2 linked regions of the Notamacropus eugenii genome follow. The protein of the gene in region 1 purifies or fractionates together with the protein of each later gene. This does not show direct contact. Links are inferred from orthologs where the notes say so. Each region holds a gene or a part of one and is shown on either strand. Other genes may lie near its edges. The genes, in order: EXOC6B and EXOC3.

The links.
Region 2: the proteins of EXOC6B (region 1) and EXOC3 purify together in Homo sapiens (affinity purification with mass spectrometry; 3 studies listed by BioGRID and IntAct, counting the BioPlex papers as one, with this or other methods). This does not show direct contact. The link is inferred for Notamacropus eugenii from reciprocal best matches to the Homo sapiens genes EXOC6B and EXOC3.

What each region holds. Positions count from the first base shown.
Region 1 is NC_092872.1:738,936,288-738,946,650, forward strand, and holds the start of EXOC6B (exocyst complex component 6B), read right to left. Parts: upstream 4,813-10,363; 5' UTR 4,775-4,812; coding exon 4,662-4,774; intron 1-4,661. UniProt on the Homo sapiens protein: Component of the exocyst complex involved in the docking of exocytic vesicles with fusion sites on the plasma membrane.
Region 2 is NC_092875.1:343,302,064-343,311,830, reverse strand, and holds the start of EXOC3 (exocyst complex component 3), read right to left. Parts: upstream 4,787-9,767; 5' UTR 4,655-4,786; intron 4,144-4,654; exon of another isoform or gene 4,014-4,143; intron 1-4,013. UniProt on the Homo sapiens protein: Component of the exocyst complex involved in the docking of exocytic vesicles with fusion sites on the plasma membrane.

The sequences.
Region 1 (10,363 bases):
ACGCACAAGCGCCCAAATGGGAATGGCGCAGAGAAAGGATAAGAAGGTTCAGCTAGCTGGGCTGCAACGTTCCAGGTGCAAAAGCACTTTACAGGCCAAATGCAAATGTGCGTATCTGGCTGCAGACAAACATAATGGGAAGTCCCTGGCCTGCTCGAGAGTGGCACAGCCAGATCTACAATGGAGGAAAATCCTTTCTGTAGCTACGCAGGGATGGCCTGCAGGAAGGAGAGATGAGATAGGGGGGCCAATGGGGAAAGACCGCTGGAGTCATCCAGGGCAGAGATGATCCAGGCCTGCACTAAGGTAGTGGCTGTGTGGGCGGAAAAAGGATGACAGATCTAAAGGATGTTGTGGAGCCTTAGCAACCACAAGGTTTGCTAACTGATCATATGTGGTCAAAGTGAGACACCAAGATTGTGAAGAAAGGCCCATGGAGGGAGAGCGCTGTCCTTGGCACAAGGATTTTCCCAGCAACTCCTCCTCCTTCAGGATGGAAGGAAGCCAACCCCCAAACCAGGAAACAGGGAGCACATGAATATTGCCAAGTGGATCTATAGGCTACCACCAAGATTACTGGTGGGATGGATCAGAGCTAGAAGACCACAAGCATTTATGAAGTGCCTACTGTGGGCTGGCCACTCTGCTAAGCCAAGCTTCCTGGAAGCTGGGGAAGGGGCGGGGCCATGGAGACAGGGACAGCTTGCCTCCAGAAAGGCCTGACTAGAGGAAGAGGGTTGCAATCTTCTATGTAAGGTCAAGGCTGGAGGGTATCCCTCCTGAGGAGGCCCCTCAGAGGTGAGGGGTGAGGGGAAAGAGAGCAATGCTTCCTAAAGAAAGGAAACAAGCTCTTATTAAGTGCCTGCTACTCTGCGACAGGTACTTAGTAAAGCTCCTTATAAACATGCTCTCATTGGAGACTCACAACAACCCTGATCCTCGGGTGCTACTATCATCCCCATTTTACAGATGAGGAAACTGAAGCAAACAGAGGCTAAAGGATTTGCCCAGCGCCACACAGCCAGGCAGCATCTGAGGCCAGATTCACACTGAGGTCTTTCCTGACTCCAGACCCGGCGCTCTGTCCACTGTGCCACCAGCTGTCTCTAGCAGCATGTCCAAGAAGGAAACTTAAGGATTATCAATCCTACTTCCATATTGAAAGTAAAAGAAACTGAGGCCACAGGTGTGATGTTCCCTGCCCAGGATCACCTGTGCAGAGCTCCAACAAGGTAACTGCTACCCCCATGTCCCAGGGCTGGATTGAAGGCACAAGAAGTACAGGCCATATCCAACAAACCTTTGCCAGAATCATGGGGGGAGGGGGGGTGTTCCCCGGCAGAACAGCCTAGGACCTCAGACAGTGACATCAAAGGCTTAAGGAGAGACCATGAAGATCTTTCGTACCTGTCTAGAGGAGACAGAGACCAAGGACAGAAAGGAAGAGGTCACTTGCACCAATGTTGCCATAGGACAGGAGGGCAGGAAGAACTGGATGTCTCTGGATTGTTCCTGTTTACTGAGGTGGGAAAGAAGCTGGAGAGTTGAGTGATGGGGTTGCCCCTGAGGGCCTGGCACAAGGCAGAGGAGGCCTGCCTGTGACTGGGAGAGCACAGATGAGGATGCCACTGGGGAAGGAAGCTGGCACACACTGGCTACCACACAAAAGAGTCAGCACCTGCTGCCCCTGTTTGGGCAAGGACAAATGGGTCTGCCATCAGGGACAACAGAGAGAAGGGGAGAAAGAAAGCAGGGGGTGGGGGGAGGAGGCCTGCTAATAAGGCCAATAGGAGAGAAAAATGAGAAATGAATGACAACGACCTTAAGGAGAAAGAGGAACAACTTACAGGTGCTCAGGGCAGAAACTAATCGTGCTTGTGTAGAGGCAGCAGGCTGACTGCTGAGCTGAAACAGCTCCTGGTTGAGCAGCGCTACAATTCAGGGAAGGAAGCCCAGTGGGCAGCCCCCATACACAGTCACAGGCTCATGGAAAGCCTGGCTGGGGGGCCAATGGGGGTGGTGGCATAGGCAGGGTCACTCGGAGCAACAGTTCCCAGGGCCTGGACTCCAGTTTTTGACGCCTGCTGGATTTTCTTCCCTCCAGAAGAGAGGCATGAAATCAGGGGTCAGAAAGGTCTGTTATAGGAGATTGCGTCCAGCAGGGAAGGAGACTGAATCTCCCCTTTTGCTTCCAAATTCCCCTAGTCAGGCACATTTTTTAATTCCACCCCCTCCCAGGGCACCAGGTGACACAGGCAGGTTAATTTATTTCTGGGCTGAAAGGTTCCATGATCAAACTCTTTATGGAATTACTGAATTAAGAAGAAACATTAAATAGCTCCAGACTGAGGAAGGTTGGGGATAGAGATCGGAATTGTAAAGGCTGGGGATTTGGGTTAGTTCTTTACGAAGAAAAAAGAAGTATCACCAAAAAAAGAGGCTCATGCCCTAAACTGAGGGGTGAAAGGAGACAAAGGGAATTAAGGTAAGTGGGTGAGGCTCTGGGTGACACAGGAGACAGAGTGCTAGGCTCAGTCAGGAAGGCCTCACTTCCTATCCTTCATCAGATCCCCTAACTCTATGATCCTGGACAAGTCACAAGCTTCAGTTTCCTCATCTGTACAATGGGGACAATAAAAGCCCCTATCTCAAGGGGTTATTGGATCAAAAGATATTATGCAAATCTATTTACAAAGTTCAGATCACTATATAAATGCTAGGCATGAGGCTTGGTGTTTAATGTGAGGGAAGAGGGAGAGAGGCCTTAGCCTTAGGCTAGAGTTTGACTGGCCCTCACTCGAGGAATGAACTAAGTAGTAGGTAGGAAAGAGAAAGTCTCCTAGGGAGGGAGAAGCAGGTCGTCTGTTTGGAGGAGCTGGGATTTTGAAGGGCTGAATTCATTCGGGAGGCTGATACATGGGTACTAATCCCACTCCCAGGGTTAGAGCTGCCTTGACTTTCCTAAGGGACTGGCATGTTTGTCTCCTGGAGAAGATGGGGGCTGGGGCTTGGGGGAGGGAGTCTCAATCCAGAGGAAGTTTGATTCTCAAGAGGGGAGGGGAGGAATCACCTCTGAATATGGTAAGGGGAGCCTAGCTGAGGAGACAAGGGTCTAACTGTCCAGAGCAGCTTGCCTGGAAGAGGAAAGGGGCTGGCTCATCCTCAGGAGGCCTTCCTTACTTTCCAAAGAGGCTAGGTGGTGGAAGAAGGGCATCCCTCCTAAGGGAATGGAATCTGACCCTGTAAAGTCTTACTCAAGGGGGCTAAGTCGGTGCTGGGAGGAGGTCATCCTGAAGAAGGGGTTGAGTGGCCTATTTGTCTGGGAAAAATGTATATGGAGAGGCGCTGACCCTCCTGAATGGAAGAGGGGGACTCTCCATAGGAACCAGAGGCCAGGAGTCTGTTGGTGGGGAAGGTTTCTCTCCCCTCCTGGGAGACCCTGATTGGAGATGGAGATCTCCCTGCTGGGAGAGCCAGACTCCCAAGGAGCTGAAGTTTTTCTTAGGGAAGGGCCTGGAGGGTCTAAGCAGAGGTACATAGCTAGTGAGGAAACCTGACTCTCCAGAGGAATTGGACTATGATGAGAGAAGGCTGGAAGGGCTTGGGGATTGAGGAAGGGACTGACTCTTCAAAAGGGCAAAGGATGGGGGGGGGGGGGGGGGCGGGGTCCAGTGGAAAGTCAGTCTTCCCCAAGAGAGACCATCTCCTATAGCTGTGGGTGTAGCTGAAGGGAAGGAAGACAAGAAGCTTCTCAGGAGTTTTAGAACTAGATCCTGGGGAAGGAGCTGTCTTGGGGATGCCTGTGAAAACTTCACTGGGGGGGGGGGGGTGTTGAAGGGGGGGTTTGCCTGTGGAAGAGGGAGGTGCTGAAATGGAGGGTGTCACTGGGGAGGGTCCTGACCAAATGAGAAGAATGCTTGGAGGGGAGGGGGAAAATCTGGAAGGGGGAAAGGTACAGTGTCTGCCTGTCTTGGACAAGAAGGAGGGTCTCACAAGAAGGAGAGACTGGTTCCTAGGGAGAGGGGGCAAAGTCTGACTGAAAAGGATGTGTAAGGTTCAGGCTATAAGGTGAAGGAAGAGAGGTGCCTGCAGGGAGGGGTGGGCAGGGGCAGCCCCTTCTTTGAAGGAGGAATGTGGATGGGACTAGGGGCAGTCAAGGGGAGAGAGTATGAGGAGGGTGGGTATGGGGGCAGAAGCACTCCCTCTTGGGTAGGGCTTGTCTGGCCCTTCTGAGGGCTCTCGCTCCTGAACGGGGGGCTCGACCCTAGGGGAAGGAGGGAGAGGGCAGGGGGCAGAGGCTTGCTCTTGTGCAGACAGAAAGGGACGGGAGAGCTCCCTGGGGAGGGGCTGGGGCGGAGGGCAGGGGTCACCCTGGGAAGGGGCTCCCTCTTGGAGAAGTGTGCCCTCGCAGGGGGTCGGACGGGGTGAGGGTCCCACCCTGTGGGGTGTCTCGCTCGCTGGGGGTCCTGCCTTCGGGGGCGTCTCTCTCCGGGGGCTCCCCTGGGGAAGGGTGTTCCCTCGGGGAGCCCTCCCAACGCTGGGGGGGTGCCGGCCAGGGCGGGGTTCCCCTCTCCCGGCACGGTCGCCCCCTCCCCGCGGGGTCCCGGCCTCGGGGGGGCGGGGCGCCCCCGGCCCCGGTTCGCTCCGGCCCGGCTCGCTACCTGAGCGTGGGCCCGATGCAGGCCGTGTCCGTGCTCTCGATCTCCCGCAGGATCCGCTCGTGCTCCGCCGCCGTCTCCAGGCTCTCCGCCTCCGCCATCTTCCCCCGCTCCATGGGCCGGGCGGCCGCCCTGCCCCGCCCCGCCCCGGCCTCCCCGCGCCTGCCGCCGCGCTCGGAGCCGCCCGCAGCCTCGCAGCCTCGCCGGCCCCTCCGCAGCCGCCCCGGCCGCCCAGCAACGACCCCGCCCCCGGGCACGCCCCCCAGCGTCAGCGCGCCCAGGCCCCGCCCCGCGCCGTGCGAGGCCGCGCGCGCGGCCTGCCGGGAGATGTAGTCCTCGCCCTCCCTGCCCTGCTCCAAGGAACTGGCTGGACCTCAAGGGCATCCGCCGCCACCCTAACAGAGCGGGAAGCTGAGGCCCAGAGGGAGGAAAGGAGGCAGCGCCCAGATCCTTGGGCGCCAAGCTCAGCGCTCTTCGCATTGCCCTCCAATGGAGACTGGCAGCTCCCTGAGGGCAAGAGGCGGACGTCGGCTTCTCTTTGTCTCCCTGGCGCCTAGACCAGGGCCGGGCACAGAGTAGGACCTCCGTAAGCGCTTGTTGACTGACTGACCGATGAAGTGGGCGTGACTGAGCTTGTCCAATAAGGTCATGATGTCATGCCACCATAGAAAGCGAAAAGGGACTTTTACAGATGAGGAAACTGAGGCTGCCGAGGTCACGCAGCCGGTCGTTACCTGGCCGCCTCACCCCTCCCACTCCTTTCTATCCAGCCATCTGGTCATCCGTACAATGAGGATTATACTTGTTGCAGCCCTGTCTCGGACACATAGAGATTGCGTGACCGTGGGCAAGTCCCTAGGTCTGGGAACACTGGCCGGTTCCACCTTGGACAGCTCTAGTCCTTCACTTGCAGTTACAGTCTTATCTTAGGCACCATCCAACTCCTCTAGTCAATATCCACAAAGTGATACTTGGAGATACAGTATAAACATGGTACCCCCCAACTTGACCCTCCCTGCTGTGTAGACGTTATTTTACTCATCCCTGAATGATTCTCACACTTCCCACAAGGTCTACGCCAGATGTCTTCTCTCCTCAAACCTCCTATGCCATGCCCTCCTTTCTCTCAGCAGAGGACCTCTCCTCCTACTTCACGGAGAAAACTGAGGCCATCCTAAATGAGCAGGACCCTTCCTCTCCAACTGTACCCCTCTCCACTATTCCCCCAACCCTATCTTTTACTCCAGTCTCTGAGAAAGGTATGGTCTTTCTCTCTACAAAGGTCAACTCATTTGCTTGTCTTCTTGATCCTATCCCTTTCTGTCTCCTCTGAGAGGCTGTTCCCTCTGTCATTCCTTCTCTTTATGGATGGATGGATGGATGGATGGATGGATGGATGGATGGATGGATGGATGGATGGACAATGAAATAAATATTAAGCACTTGCTATATACCAAGCATTCTGCTAAGTGCTGGGAATACAATTAGCAACAATCAAGATTGTCCTGGATCTCAAGGAGTTCACATTCTGATAGAAGCAGACAACACACAAAAGAGAGCTGGGAATGCTTTGAAAATACCCAGGATGGAGCAGCTAGTACTTGCCTTGGAATCAGCAGGACCTGAGTTCAAACGTAACCTCGAGCACTTATAAGCCATATAACACTGGGTAAGTCACTTAACCCAAATTGCCTCCAAAAAAAAAGTGTCCAGGAATTTAAATGGAGGCTTCGTTCAGGGCAAGGTAAAATAAAAGCAAAAGCTGACTATCAGAACCCAGGGACCCAGGAGCCTAGTTCAAGTGATTTAAGTAGGAGGGAGCTGAAATTTAAAATGTATTCACTGTATGCCCTCTCCTAACTACACACATGTCCAGACTTCTTCCACTCCTAAACAAATCCTTGTAAGGTATTTTCCTGGATCTCTTCACGTGTTCAGTCAATCCATGTGCCAGACAGAATTCAAAGACAAGCCCAGTCCTCCAGGAGCTTACAGCCCACTTGGAAAGTACAAGACATATACAAATAAGTAAATGCAAGGTAATTTCCCTTTCACTTTCAAATATCTAGACAGAGTCATCTCCACTAGTTACCTCCATTTCTTCACTTCCTTTTTATATCCCTTTCAATCTGGCTTCTGACCTCAATCTTCCTAAGCTGTTCTTTCCAAAATTACTAATACTCTTCTCATGCTTGGTTTCATTGGCTTTTTTTGGTGTCTCGTTCTGCTTTACCTCTTGTCTTTAGCTTTTGAAACATTGTCCATCTCTTCCTCTTCTAGTCTGAGTTCTCTTGGTTCTACCCCTACCTGTCCAGCTGGGCCTTCTGAGTCTCCTTTGCTAGGTCATTGTCCGTCCCCAACCACCCAACTGTATTTTTTCTCTCTCTACTCTCTTAGTTAACTCATCAGTTCCCATGTGTTCAATTATTATCTCTCTGCAGATCCCTACAGGTGGATGCGTCTGGCCCTCATCTCTCTCCTAAATTCCAGTGTCCATCATGAACTATTCCTGGATGACCCAACAGCATCTCAAACTCAGCATGTCCAAAATGTAACTGAGTGACTTCCCCACGTCTTCTCCAAACCTCTCCTTTTTTGCTGAGAGCACCACCATCCTTCCATTGCTCCAGGGATCCAACCCATGGAGAAGCCCACCACTGCCACACCATTGACACTCCTGCTACTCATTCAAACAACTAACCAGATACTGAATGTCTACTGTGTGCTCATTCGGGGGTGTGAAGATGACCAGAAACAGCTCTTGTCCTTGAGGAACTCACATGCTAGCAGGACATGAAATGGACTACAACTCTGCTTAGTGTTTTATAGGGTATCTCATGTGTAAAGATGTGTCTTGTCTTCCCATTCAGATTAGAGCCTCCCTGAGGGCAGGGTCTGTAATACCCCCAGAAGGCTGAGCATTTCCTAAGGGCTGGAGTTGTATTTCTCCCATCAGGTTCAAGTACAGAGAGTCCAATACTAACTGGATAATGGTTTGGGGGTGGGGGGGAGAGAAGAGAACAAGGATTTATTAAGTGCTTACCATATGCCAGGAACTGTGCTAAGCCCTTTACAAATATTTTCTCATTTGAACTTGACTGATATAGCAAGCCTTCTCCCAGGGCATCTCTTGGCCACAGAATGTTTTGGCTGTGTTTGTCACCCCCACGTCCTCAGGGACTGCCTTTTCCTCTGAGTCTAAGTTCACTGTACTCCTCCAGGTGGTGACAACACCATGCTCTCCACCCTGAGCTCCCCCAGGAGCCTGAGCTCAGCTAAGTCCCTGAGCAGCAGGCTGACATCATCCCAGACTTCTGCAGGACAAGGTCCCTAAGGTTCAACCCTGGTCTTCCCCACAGAGCATCTGAGCTACATACACACACACTCATACACACACACATACATACCCACACCCACATTACTCATACATATCAAATACACACACCAACCGCTTTCAAACATACCTCTCTCACATACACGTAACATTCATTCACATACATACACACCTTCAAACTTTTTACACACAACACACTTGCATATATACTATTCACTCATTCACACATATACATATACCACACTCATATACACATACACTCTACTCATACATACCGAATACACACACCAGCCACTCTCACAGATACCCCACTTACAAACATACACTTAAACACATCCACACTACTCACACATACCAAATACACATACCAACCATTCTCACACATATCCCACTCACTCACACACACACACACATCATTCAGTTACACACACAGAAGTACACACACTTTCAAACTTTTTACGCATAACATACTCTTATATACCACTCATTCACAGATACACACACCACACACTCATATATACTACACACATACACACATACATATACATGCATGCACTCAGAGGGCATGGGCAGGAACATGGTGCCAAGAACAAAGATTTGGCCCATTTTCCCATGCTTCCCATGAAGTATTTAGTCCTTTTGGGAGTCCCTGTTTTTAAGAGACAGAGAGCGAGAGAGAGAGAGAGAGAGATACTATTAAAGCATCTTGTTGCCCTCTTCTCTTTTCAGATGGCTTTCAGAAATCCAGGCCTATGCACAAGGGGAAATGAACTGCCTTATCTCCTCTCAGCATTATTACCTTTTCCTGTTCCCTTAAATTCTATTCCCTGAATCCAAGGCATCTCAGGCTCTCTCTCCTCCCTGAAGATGCCATGAGATCTTTCACAGGCTCATATTTATAGGCAACCCATGACCCAGAGCCAAGAGTTCTGCATTTACAGGGATGGGCTTGGCAAATTTATCACACCCGATAAAAGGTACACTCAGAAGGGACTCTGGGAGAGGTGGAGCTGCTTCTTTCAGATCCTGGAGTAAGTCCAAGGTGGAGTTCTGGGGCAGGAAGTGGAATTGCCAAGACTTTTTTCAAATCCTCCTAGATCTGATGTTCACTAGGCCTTTGGTTTAAAGTGCAAGTCCAGTGATGGGGTGTGTCATCAATGAGAATTTGTGGCACAAAAGAAGTTCCTAGCTCTAGAACGAAAAGACCAGCAAGGCCAGCCCTCTCTTTAAGCATCTTGCCCAAGGTCAAATGACCAATAAGCATCAGAGTTAGGACTTGAACCCAGGTCCCCTGAACCAAGAGCCAGTATTCTTTCTGCTGGACTTGGTCATGGAACAAGAACAGGAGATGACGGACAGGCCACTGGAGTGTTCTGCTAATGTCCCCAAGCTACTAAAAGAGTCAAAGGAAAGCCCCTTAAGTGGCCACAGTGAAAACCATGGGTTCCAACAGGTGTAAATGAAGAAGCACAATCCTGACACTGGGAGCAATATGTAGAAAGGAGTAGACATAGGAAGGAAAGAAACTAGCCTTGATTAAGATTCTACTATTGGCCGGGTCCTGTGGCAAGCACTTTACAGATATCGTCTCATTTGATCCTCACATACCCCTGGGAGCAAAGTGCTATTCATTTCCATTTCAGAGAGGAGGAAATCGAGGTTGACAGGCAAAGTGACTTGTATAGTTACACAGCTAGGAAGTGTTTGCAGCAAGATTCAAATTCAGGTCTTCCTGACTCTGGCCCAGTGCCCTATCTGTCATGTGTCAAAACAGCAGGGTCAGTTTGGCAGGACTACAGCATGTGTAAAGGGGACTAAAGATAGGTTTGGATCAGGCTGTGAAGGACTTTAAATGCCAACCAAGAATCAAGTTTGATGTGGGAGCCAATAGGGTGTCACTGGAGTTGAGTAGACAGTTAATGTAGTAAGTGTTGTGCTTTAGAAAATCATTCTGGAAATGTGGAGGGTAGACTGGAATAGGGCAGGATTTGAGGCAGGGAAACCGATTAGAATGTTAGTACAATGTTGAATTTATTGAATCTTTAAAAAAAAAAAAAAGCAAGCTGTTCATAATAGAGTTTCCTAGTTTCATGTACATTCCTCTTTTCTGTTCTATTATGTATACAAAAGGGCTTTTTTTGTTTGGTGTTCATTGAGTTCAGAATAAAAAGATTTTAAATTGAATTGAATTGAATTTGTTTTTTTAAAAAGCTGTTACAATAGTCCAAATAAGAGATGGCAAGCTTCTGAATTAAGATATAGGCTATTTGAGTGGAGAGATGGGACATGCAGGAGAGATTCTGTGGAGGAAAAAACAATAAAATTTGACAATAGACTATATGGGGGGGGGGAGTGAGAGTGAGCAGTTGAG
Region 2 (9,767 bases), on another chromosome or scaffold:
GGAGAGGTTTTGTCCTTTTCCCACCTTTACTGCACCTTTCCCCCTCTCAGGTCACAGTCCTTTATGCTGCGATTTGTGTTTTCTTCTCCTTCTTTTGTCCTACTGTTATAAATATGCAAACTTCTGTATCAATTGTGAACTCTTTGGGTTCCATATACATGTTCATTTCTCTTGTAATAAAGCTAGTTTTCATGTAAGTTCCATGAAGCTGTGACTGCTTGACATACTATAACTTCCAAGATCTTGTGCATAAAATCACTAAAAGTAGGTTTCCAGTTTTTAAAAAGATATCCAAATCCTTGTATTTCTGGCCTTTGAGACCCAAACCTTATGACCTCAATTTTAATCCCTCTGGTTTTCAGGTTCCTCATCTATAAAAAGTTGGACTCAATGATGTCTCAGATCACTTCTGGCTCTAAAATACCATGATTCAAATATGAGAACTGCTTTTTAGCAATATTTAACCAGAGAAAGAGAGCAGAATTTTGCAGGCCTGATTTTGAAGGGAAGCCAGGAGCCAATATAAGAACAAAGTCTCCACAAACTACTCAGAGGCATTCTGAGGGAGAAGTAGCACATGCTAGGCAAATCAAACCACCACCACCATTCTGATTATCATCTCCCCTGGACTACTGAGTCTTTGGAATAGCAACGTTTCCAGTCCAGTGCCTATAGCCATTATCCTGACTTAAGTCCCAAAGCTTTAGGAATATCAATGCCATCCAAATCAAATGAATTGCTTCTAGTCCCCCTAGCCATCACTGAAGGGAGAAATTATTGTAGAGAAGGGATCTACCTTCCTCATCTCCAGCAGCAACACTGCTAATCAACTGCCACCAAAAGACTGCTTAGCACAGGGCGCCTTGGAAGTGGCAATAACTCCCAGACCACTTCTCCTGATTCTAGCCTACCTACTCCTTACTGCCATTGGCTAGAGTAGCAACTCCTCTGGAAAACAAGCTGACCATCTCCACCAAATGCCACACACAGAGCAGACAAGCTAACACAGTTGAAGCAGCAAGGCAGCTTGTAACACGTGCCAAGCAAGTACAACCACTACCATCATCTTCACCACCAGCTTACCTCTGACCTTCATACAAATAGTTCAGGACCTTAAAGCCAAGTACCTTTGGAACAGTAATGCTTCCAGAAGCTATGCCTACAGAGATGAGCCTGGCAACTGTTTCTGCAGATGCAACATTGTCAGGTATTGGAGACCCCAAAAAAGGAAAGTTCTTGGAACCAAAGTACCAAAGAAGGTTCAATATCAGAAAGTGACATGATTTTATTGGTGGCAATAACATCAAAAAAGACGCATTACTATCTGCTATGGACAATGGGACATTCCTATCTGCCTTTCAGCTGAACCCTTTCATGTGGTTGTCTCCCTCATTAAAATGAATGTGAGCTCCTTGAGGGCAAAGACTGTCTTACTTGGCCATCTCCAGTCATCCTGATGACTATCTGGTCATTGGATTCAGATGGCTCTGGAGGAGAAGAGAGGCTGGTGACCTGCACACCCCTCCTTCACACAAAACAAAGTCAAGTGCAAATCATGTCGTCATTTCTCTGATGGCATGGTCGTCTTCGGCAATGAAGGACGAACACGACGATCTTTTTTATTTGTAGTAAGTGCTTTACACATAGTAAGCACAGGCACTTAATAAAGGTTTCTTTATTCATTCATGATAATGTAATTATAATTCACAGATGAGTTTTCTTCCTAAATGGATACAAACTACGGCACCAAAATGGCCATCTCCAGGTAGTTCCCTACCCTTGAAGAACCAATTTTTCAGTTCTCATTTCTCACTAAGACTCTTGGAAAGATCTTTCAGTATTTTTCAACCCTCCCTCCCCCAAAGCAACTAAAAAGAAGTAAAAAAGGAATGTACTCTTTAAGGCTAGTTCTCCGTCTCTTATAGATCTATGATCTACTTCAGGGATCAGACTTCCCTATTCACCCACCCTCTCTGCCCACATCATTTCACAGCCACATTTTGTCTAAATTTCCCAGAACTTCTTCCATCTTCCCAGGTTTCTTTTAAACACTACCTCCCCTCATCTGGACCTGTGATATGTAATGAAAAGAGTGCAGAAAAATTTAGTAAAAGAGGGAAAAACTCACCTTGAATTCTTCCCCACTTTTATGAAACATGGTATTGAAAGAAAATCAGATATTGTAACAGGTCTGGTGCATCCTTCTGGGAACTATATGATCTCTACCTCAAATCAAATTATTTTTTAAAGTAGTTCAGAAGTTCCCGGTTAATCAGTAATAAATTGCCAGTATTTTTCAGGACTATATATTAAATTCACTACTGATAAATCTTAGGAACAGAAAAGGTCAGGAGTTTTGAGAGAATTCAAGAGCAGAGCTGTAGAGATATATTTTGTAGAGATATATACTGCATTTATTGAGTCAAAATATATAATCTGCTATCCAACTGGTTATTATTGGAAGATGGCAAATTGTCACTGCTGCCCTTTCAAAACAGATCTTAGATATGAGAAAAGACATTTATATGCTCTGACTTAATGGACGCTGGGAATATTCTCCATTTATTCTCCTCCTCCTTCTCAGTCATCCACCAGTTTCAATTCCAAAATTAAAGATTTCCTTAAGAATTTTTATCAAAATCAAAATGCAAAAAAGAATGGGAGAATATGTTTCAATCAGTCATTTTTGGCAAAGTTTCAAGTATTTCTCCTCATTTCTTTTCTGAGAGTAAGTTTTGATAAGAAGTAGAAGAAATGTGAGGGTTGCTAGTATCAAAACATAAACAGGTAATGGGTAGATAAAAATGAGATTGGGATGGCAAAGACAAGCTTCCCTTACTTTTTGTTTTTGCGTAGGGCTGGCCATTAGGATTTATCCATTATCCATCAGGATTTGAGGAAGTTTGTCATTTCAGATTTGTGGGATCCTTTCCATGGAAAACTAATGTAAGCTCTGATAACAAGTAGGGTCATTTAAACACTGATACATACAATCTCACTAGTGGGGAAGGCAATATTTTATACAAGGGACAGCTTCATGGAGTGGATAGAGCTCTTAGAAAAGGAAATGACAAGAAACACTTTGATGCTTTGCCGCAATTGATTGATTAAAACCTAATATACTACTTCACCCAGACTTTTTTGCATACTAATTTGGCACAAAATTCTAAGGTAAGAAAATTAATCTCTAATTATGTAATTTCAATTATATTTTAGGTGGACATCTGAGAAGGGGAAGAACAAATGGAGAATGACCCCCTACTCATTAAATCAGAATACAGAAATGTCTTTTCCCTTATATTTAAGACTTGCTTTGAAAAGAAGTCAGCAGTAATTTGCCACCTTTCAATAATAACCAGTTGGATTGGGAATTAGACAACTCGGCTTAAAATCCCGGTTTTGCCATTTACTGGCTGTGTGTGACATTGGAGAAATTTAACTTTTCAGGGCCTAAGTTTATCTGGAAAAGGAGGGGACTGCTATATGATCTTCCAGCTCTATGATTCCAAGTCACAGCTACAGAATCACAAAATAATAGAACTGGAATATACCTTAGAGAATATCCAGTTTACCCACCAAGGTCAGATCCCTCCAGGGGTTAGACTACAACCCAGCTCTCCAGCATTTCCAACCTAGGGCCCTTTTTAACCAGGTCTTACGATTTATGGAGCCATTAAGTGACTGTCACTTAGGACTCCGAGTCCTGTCAGTTAGTACCCGTTTATTAAGGAAAGAGCCCGGAATTGGGATGGGAGGGATACAAAGAGGGGCAAACACACGTCCTCAAGAAGCTCCCTCTCTGATCGGGGAGAAGATGTGCAAAAAACTGTATATACAAGACAGACGCCCTGTAAGTGGCAGGGAACCTCAAAGGCAAGGCACTAGCAGCGGTGGCCAGAAGCAGCCTCGTGGACAAGGTGGGACTTCAGAGAAATCATTCTCGTGTTTGCTTGGTTTGGTAAGCCCCTTGGGGAAGTGACCCACACCCCAGGATATGACCTGCCTAGACTAACCGAAAGCCTGAAGTGGAGAGATAGCCCAAAGACAGTGAAATCCGTGTCTGGGGCTGAAACGGGCCTGAGAGCACACGGCCAGTCCCTGCCCGGCTGCTAAATGACTTGCCCCAGATTTCCCGAATCCGCGTGGTCCCGGAGAGCAGCTGCCAGGAGTCGGATCCTACTCAGGCCGAAACCACGGGGGGTCCCTGAGGCCCTCTAGGAGCCCCACCCGCAGGACGCCCCCGGGCCCCGCACCCCGACCCCCCGCACCCCGGGCCCCGCACCCCGACCCCCCGCACCCCGGGCCCCGCACCCCGATCCCCCGCACCCCGGGCCCCCGCACCCCGATCCCCCGCACCCCGAGCAGGAGGGGGAGGAGGAGGAGGAGGAGGAGGAGGAGGAGGCCGGGGGTGGGCGGGGCCCGGCCCGAGCTCCCGCTTCGGATCCAGCCCGGGGCCCCGCTCGGTCCGCCTGCCTGGCTGACCTGGGCGGCTAACTCGGAGACAAGCGGCTGGCGGCCCGAACACCCCGAGGGCTCCGGACCCCACGGACGAGTCTCAGGCTCCGAGCCCCCTGCAGCTGCCTCACCCGTCCTCTGACCCCCGGCCCCCGCCCCGGCCCCGGCCGATCGCTCAGCGCCTCCCGCCGGGCAGTACCTGCTTCGGGGCGGGGCTGAGTGGCCGATACTCGCCCGTCGGAGGCACCGGACACCGAGGTTCGGCCCTCGAGAGGCTCCAAGGCGAGCGCCTCGCCACACCCCCAAGCCTGGCCAAACAGCCGCCGTCACGATCTGGGGGTTTCAGCCCCCCTCTCCGACCGCCGAAGATGTTCGCTTCCGGGATCACCTCAGACCGGAAGTGGGCACTCCACGCTTGGTGACGCGCTCCCGGGCGTTCTTCCGGTCCGCGGGAGCGAGCGGGCTGCCAGACGGACAGCTGATGGTTGCCGGGGCGACGGGCTACCGTAGCCTGTCGGCTCCTAAAGGGAGAGGATGGGGTCGCTTGACAGCGAGCCCTAGAGACGAGTAACCCGGGCGGCAGTCGGCCCCGCTTCCCCTCGGCCCAGTGCGCTCTGGCCTGGGCTCTGGACTCTCTCCACTGGGGCAGCCCCCGCCCTCACCGAGGCCTCCTGACCCCTCCTTGGAAGGAGCCCGCAGGTGGGGACAAACTATCAGCAGAAGGCAGGGGCCGAGCTAAGCCTGGCCATGCAGCTTGGGACATGCCCCTCGGCCCTGCCGGTCTGGGGCGGTTCTCTACAGAATCGGCGAAAGGCTCCCTGCCTCACGCTGGGGGGTCAGCGTTCTCACCCTCACCCATCCCCCACTGGCAGAGGGTTTTCAGAAGTGATCTCCCCCTTCCAAACGTCTAGAGAGCGAAAGGACAGCGACTTACGGCCAAGGACCCGGTGGTCCCAAGAGTCCCCTTCGGGCCCCCAAAACCTCTGCTGCCGTGGCTCTTTGGGCACCCCCTTCCCACTTGTCCGCCTGCCCCTCCCCCTCGCACTCCCCCCTCTGGTACATATGGCTACCAGCCTTCTCTTCCTGCTCTGGGATCAGGGTTGCCCCCGGCTTCTTAATTACCCCGTGGTCAGACAGAGTTCTCTTCTGCATGTATATATGTGTGTATAATATGAGTGTATAGTATATGTATATGCACATACATGACACCAATATAATGTAGTAATACTTTGAGATATATGCGTGCATGTACATATACATACAGCATACACTTCTAAAACGTAGCTTTTAAGTGTTTTTCATCTCTTTAAAGTCTGGACAGTCAGCTCTCTCAAGCCTTTAAGAGCTGACTCCAGCTCACCATCACCATGTTGATTGACTATTGATTAACGTGAGTACTGCGAAGCCCCTCAAACTGGGTGTCTTTGAGACTGACACACATTCGCCTAGAGGCTGTTGCTGTACCATCAGAAGGTGGCTCCGCTGGGTTCTTGAAGACCGCTCACCTGGGCACCAAAGCGGCTGCGGGTCGGTCCCCTCCCTTCTGCTTTGCCTTCTGAAGCCAGAGCAGAAAGCGGAGCCACAAACGCTGAAGAGGAGCTTCCCCTCTGTCCACCGCCAGGTGGTGCTGAAGGGCAATGGGCTCTCGCCGGCGCTCTGGGCCAATGAGCACGAGTCTGTCCAGCCAATCAGGAGCCACTCAATGAAATTTGCGGGCTGATGCCCCCACGTGCCTCCGTTCAACTGACGTTCCTTTGCCAGATTCTTTACAACCCGCGTTCTCTCCAGGTCCTTCACGATGAGTCCAGTAATAGTCCCCTGACTCAAAGCTACTCTCTTCTCCTTTCAAAAGGAGCTGTTGCGTTGAGTTGTTTCTCTGTAACGGCTGACTCTTGGTGATCCCATTGGCAAAGATGCTGGGCTGGTTTGTCATTTCCTTTTCCAGCTCATTTCACAGATGAGCAAACTGAGGCCAGCAGGGTGAAGCACAGCTCCCCAAATCTCCCCTGTCAAATTGATCATCCTTCTAAAAATCAGACCTGTCTCCAAATGTTTATGTGATTACCCGTTGTTTGTTCTTTAGTTCTGAAACAGGCCAATTAGTCAATTACTATAATGCTCTGGCAATCTGAAGCCTTTAACATCAATCTCTTTAATGTTCTTGAAACTGCTTCATTGAAGCCAGATTTATCTAATAAAAAAAAACTTTTCTAACTCTGTAATATTAAAGTATTCTCAAATGAGTCTGACATTCCATCTCATTCACAAAAAAGGTCTATCTTTGACTTTCCAGATACCATCTGAAAATTTTTTCTTCACACGCACTTGCAGTGTACATATTTTTTAAAAGTTCTTTTGTTACTTCTATTAGATATCAAAATATTCATGACAGTGGCAATATTATATATTCTTAAACTATATAAATCTCTTCATACTATTTCTGTCCCATTCATCACTTACCTGCTCCATTTATCTTAAAAACGGAAACCAGGGAAAACGTTCAAATATGAAAAACAAAGAGGTATACGAGTTCTGTACCATATGGAAGGTCGACTTCAAGTTAAGTAAATGGTCATTTTTAAGACTGTAGATGGACGTGTGTATGTAGACATGGGAGATGGGCTCAATATTGGGATGCTGAGCTTTACTTTCAATGCTGTGGACATCATGCCTCTCCTAACTTAGCATAAGATCAAGTTAGGGTTTTTGTTTTGGGTTTGTGGGCTTTTTATTTCCTTTTTATTTGGGAGAGGGAGTGCTTCTATATTGCATTATTAAGTGTGGTCTTAATGCAGTGAATGGGCTTGGAATCAGGAAGACTTTTCCTGAGTTCAAATCTGGCCTCAGACACTTATTAGCTGTGTGACCCCAGGCAAATCACTTAACTCTGTTTGCCTCAGTTCCTCATTAGTGAAATGAGCTGGAGAAGGAAATGGCAAACCGCTCCAGTATCTTTGCCAAGAAGACCCCAAAGGGCTCATGAAGAGTTGGACATGACTGAAAACGACTGAACAAGTACAGTCTTGTATCCCATAGGGATAGTGCTGCTATGAAGATGAGGCACTCAAGTAGCTGTTAACCCAGAGTTCACAAGTTGGTGATGTCTTTTGATATCAGGATATAGGCAAGGTCCAGTAGTGCATCTGATTTCTAGACTCTTGCCTTCTGTTCCTTTCTTCTGAAATTTTGTCAGGCTGCTATTGCTGAACTGAGCAGTTCAGGACGTGAATATTAGAAAGACAGTTGAGAGCTGAGAGTAATTTTTGCCATCATAAAGCAAGCACCATAACAGGAAATTTTCCTATCTTCCTGTCTCTGTTCCAGGTGAGGTATTATGGGTAAAATATTAAAACAAAGACTGCAAACTTCCATAATATGTGATTTGGGGTTATTTTTAGTTTTATCACATTTTTTTTCTTTCACATACTCCCCCCAAAAAAAAAACAAGCTTCAATCGTCACTGGTAAAATATGAAGCCTTTTCACATTTACTCCATTTACAAAATATTTACTCTGAAAGCCAACAATGAGAAGTGGTTCTCATTTAATTTAATAGAAATTAAGAATAAACAGCAGCCTTTTCCAAAAAATAGGGGGCTACAAAAAAGAAGCATACTATGGAAATGTAATTGTCTTCCTAACTACAATAAACACTTATCTATTCTAAGGGTGGACATCAAATTCGAATACAATTCTTAGCAAAGCTAGAGCTGCACAGGTGTTTTGATGGTAGCAGATAAACTGGTGGAGTTCCCTATTTGGTTGATCAGGAATCTAGGAATCTTGCTATGGAGACCAGCAATACATAAAAAAAAAAAATAGTTCCCTAAACCGGTTTGTGGAATTGGCATTTTATAAAAATTCTACATTAGATTTCCTGTGAACCCTGGAAGTTTCTAGCTTTCTACCTCTATGCTTTCAACTTATAAAAATTACAGTTTTGAAATGAAGGAAAAAACAAAATCTGAAGGCTAAGTAAGACTTTTGAGTCTACTGATATTTCCATGTACACTGAATAATAATGAAATAGTTGATCCAACATAGATATGCATTGATGAAACTACTTAACGGAATAGATGCTTTCCTGAAAAATCTGTCATAAAGCATAAATTAAATCATTTCCCCAGTGACTTACATTGTAAAGTTTGAGATGTGTTATCACAAGTAAATTTTGACTACAAAGATTAAATAAAAGTTACACTTAAGAAAGTCATAACATGAGGTGGCACCAAAGGAAGCAGATCCCAGCAGGCTTCAGGGACAGAATCTCCAGGCAGCACAGATCCCTCAACCCACATGTGCCAAAGGTCAGTGGGAGGGTCCTTTAGGCTGGCTGAGAGACAATCGGGGTGTCCCCATAACTCAGGTCTCCTCAGGAGGCAGCAGTAGAGGCAGCAGCAGAAGGCAGCCCCAAAGCAGGCAGTAGGCCCCATCCATTGTTGAAGGTCTCATCAGAAAGCCCCTGAGGGAACTGAGCCCTGGGTGGCAGCCCTGCCCCCACCTGAACAGCTGACTTTAATCTCACACTGAATAGCAGCCCTGCCCCCACCTAAAGCCCTGAGGCTTGGGAGCAGCTCATTTGAATCTCAGCCCCTAAGTGCTGGCTTGGCAGAGCCGGAGGCCAGGAAGTTGTGGAGAGGAAACTCACAAGTCAAGTAACTGGTTGGAAAAACGCCTAAAAAAGGAAAAAAAAAAAAAATAAGACCATAGAAAGTTACTTTCTTGGGGAACAGGTGTCTCTCCCTATCCTTTCAGATGACGAAGAACAAGGCATACTGTCACAGGAAGTCAAGGCCTCTGCCTCCAAAGTTGAACTTAAACTGGGCTCAGGCAAGAGAAGACCTTAAAAAACAACTTAGCAGCTTACTAAAGGAGAATCAAAAAAATGCTGAGGAAAATAACAGCTTTAAAAAGAGGCTAACTCAATTGGAAAAAGAGGTCCAAAAAGCCAACGAGGAGAAGGAGGTTTTAAAAAGCAGAATTACCCAAATGGAGGAGAAGGTTCAAAAGCTCACTGAACAAAATAATTCGTTGAAAGAGAGAATTGAGTTTAGGGAAACGCATGACTATGAGCTAAACCAAGCAGTTGGTAAACAAAACCAAAAATTTGAAAAAAATAGAAGATAATGTGAAACAACTCACTGGAAAAACAACTGACCTGGAAAATAGATCCAGGAGAAATAATTTAAAAATTATTGGACTGCCTGAAAGCCATGATCAAAAAAGAGCCTAGACATTATCTTCCATGAAATTATCAAGGAAAACTGCCCTGATGTTATAGAATCAGAGGGCAAAATGGATATTGAAAGAATT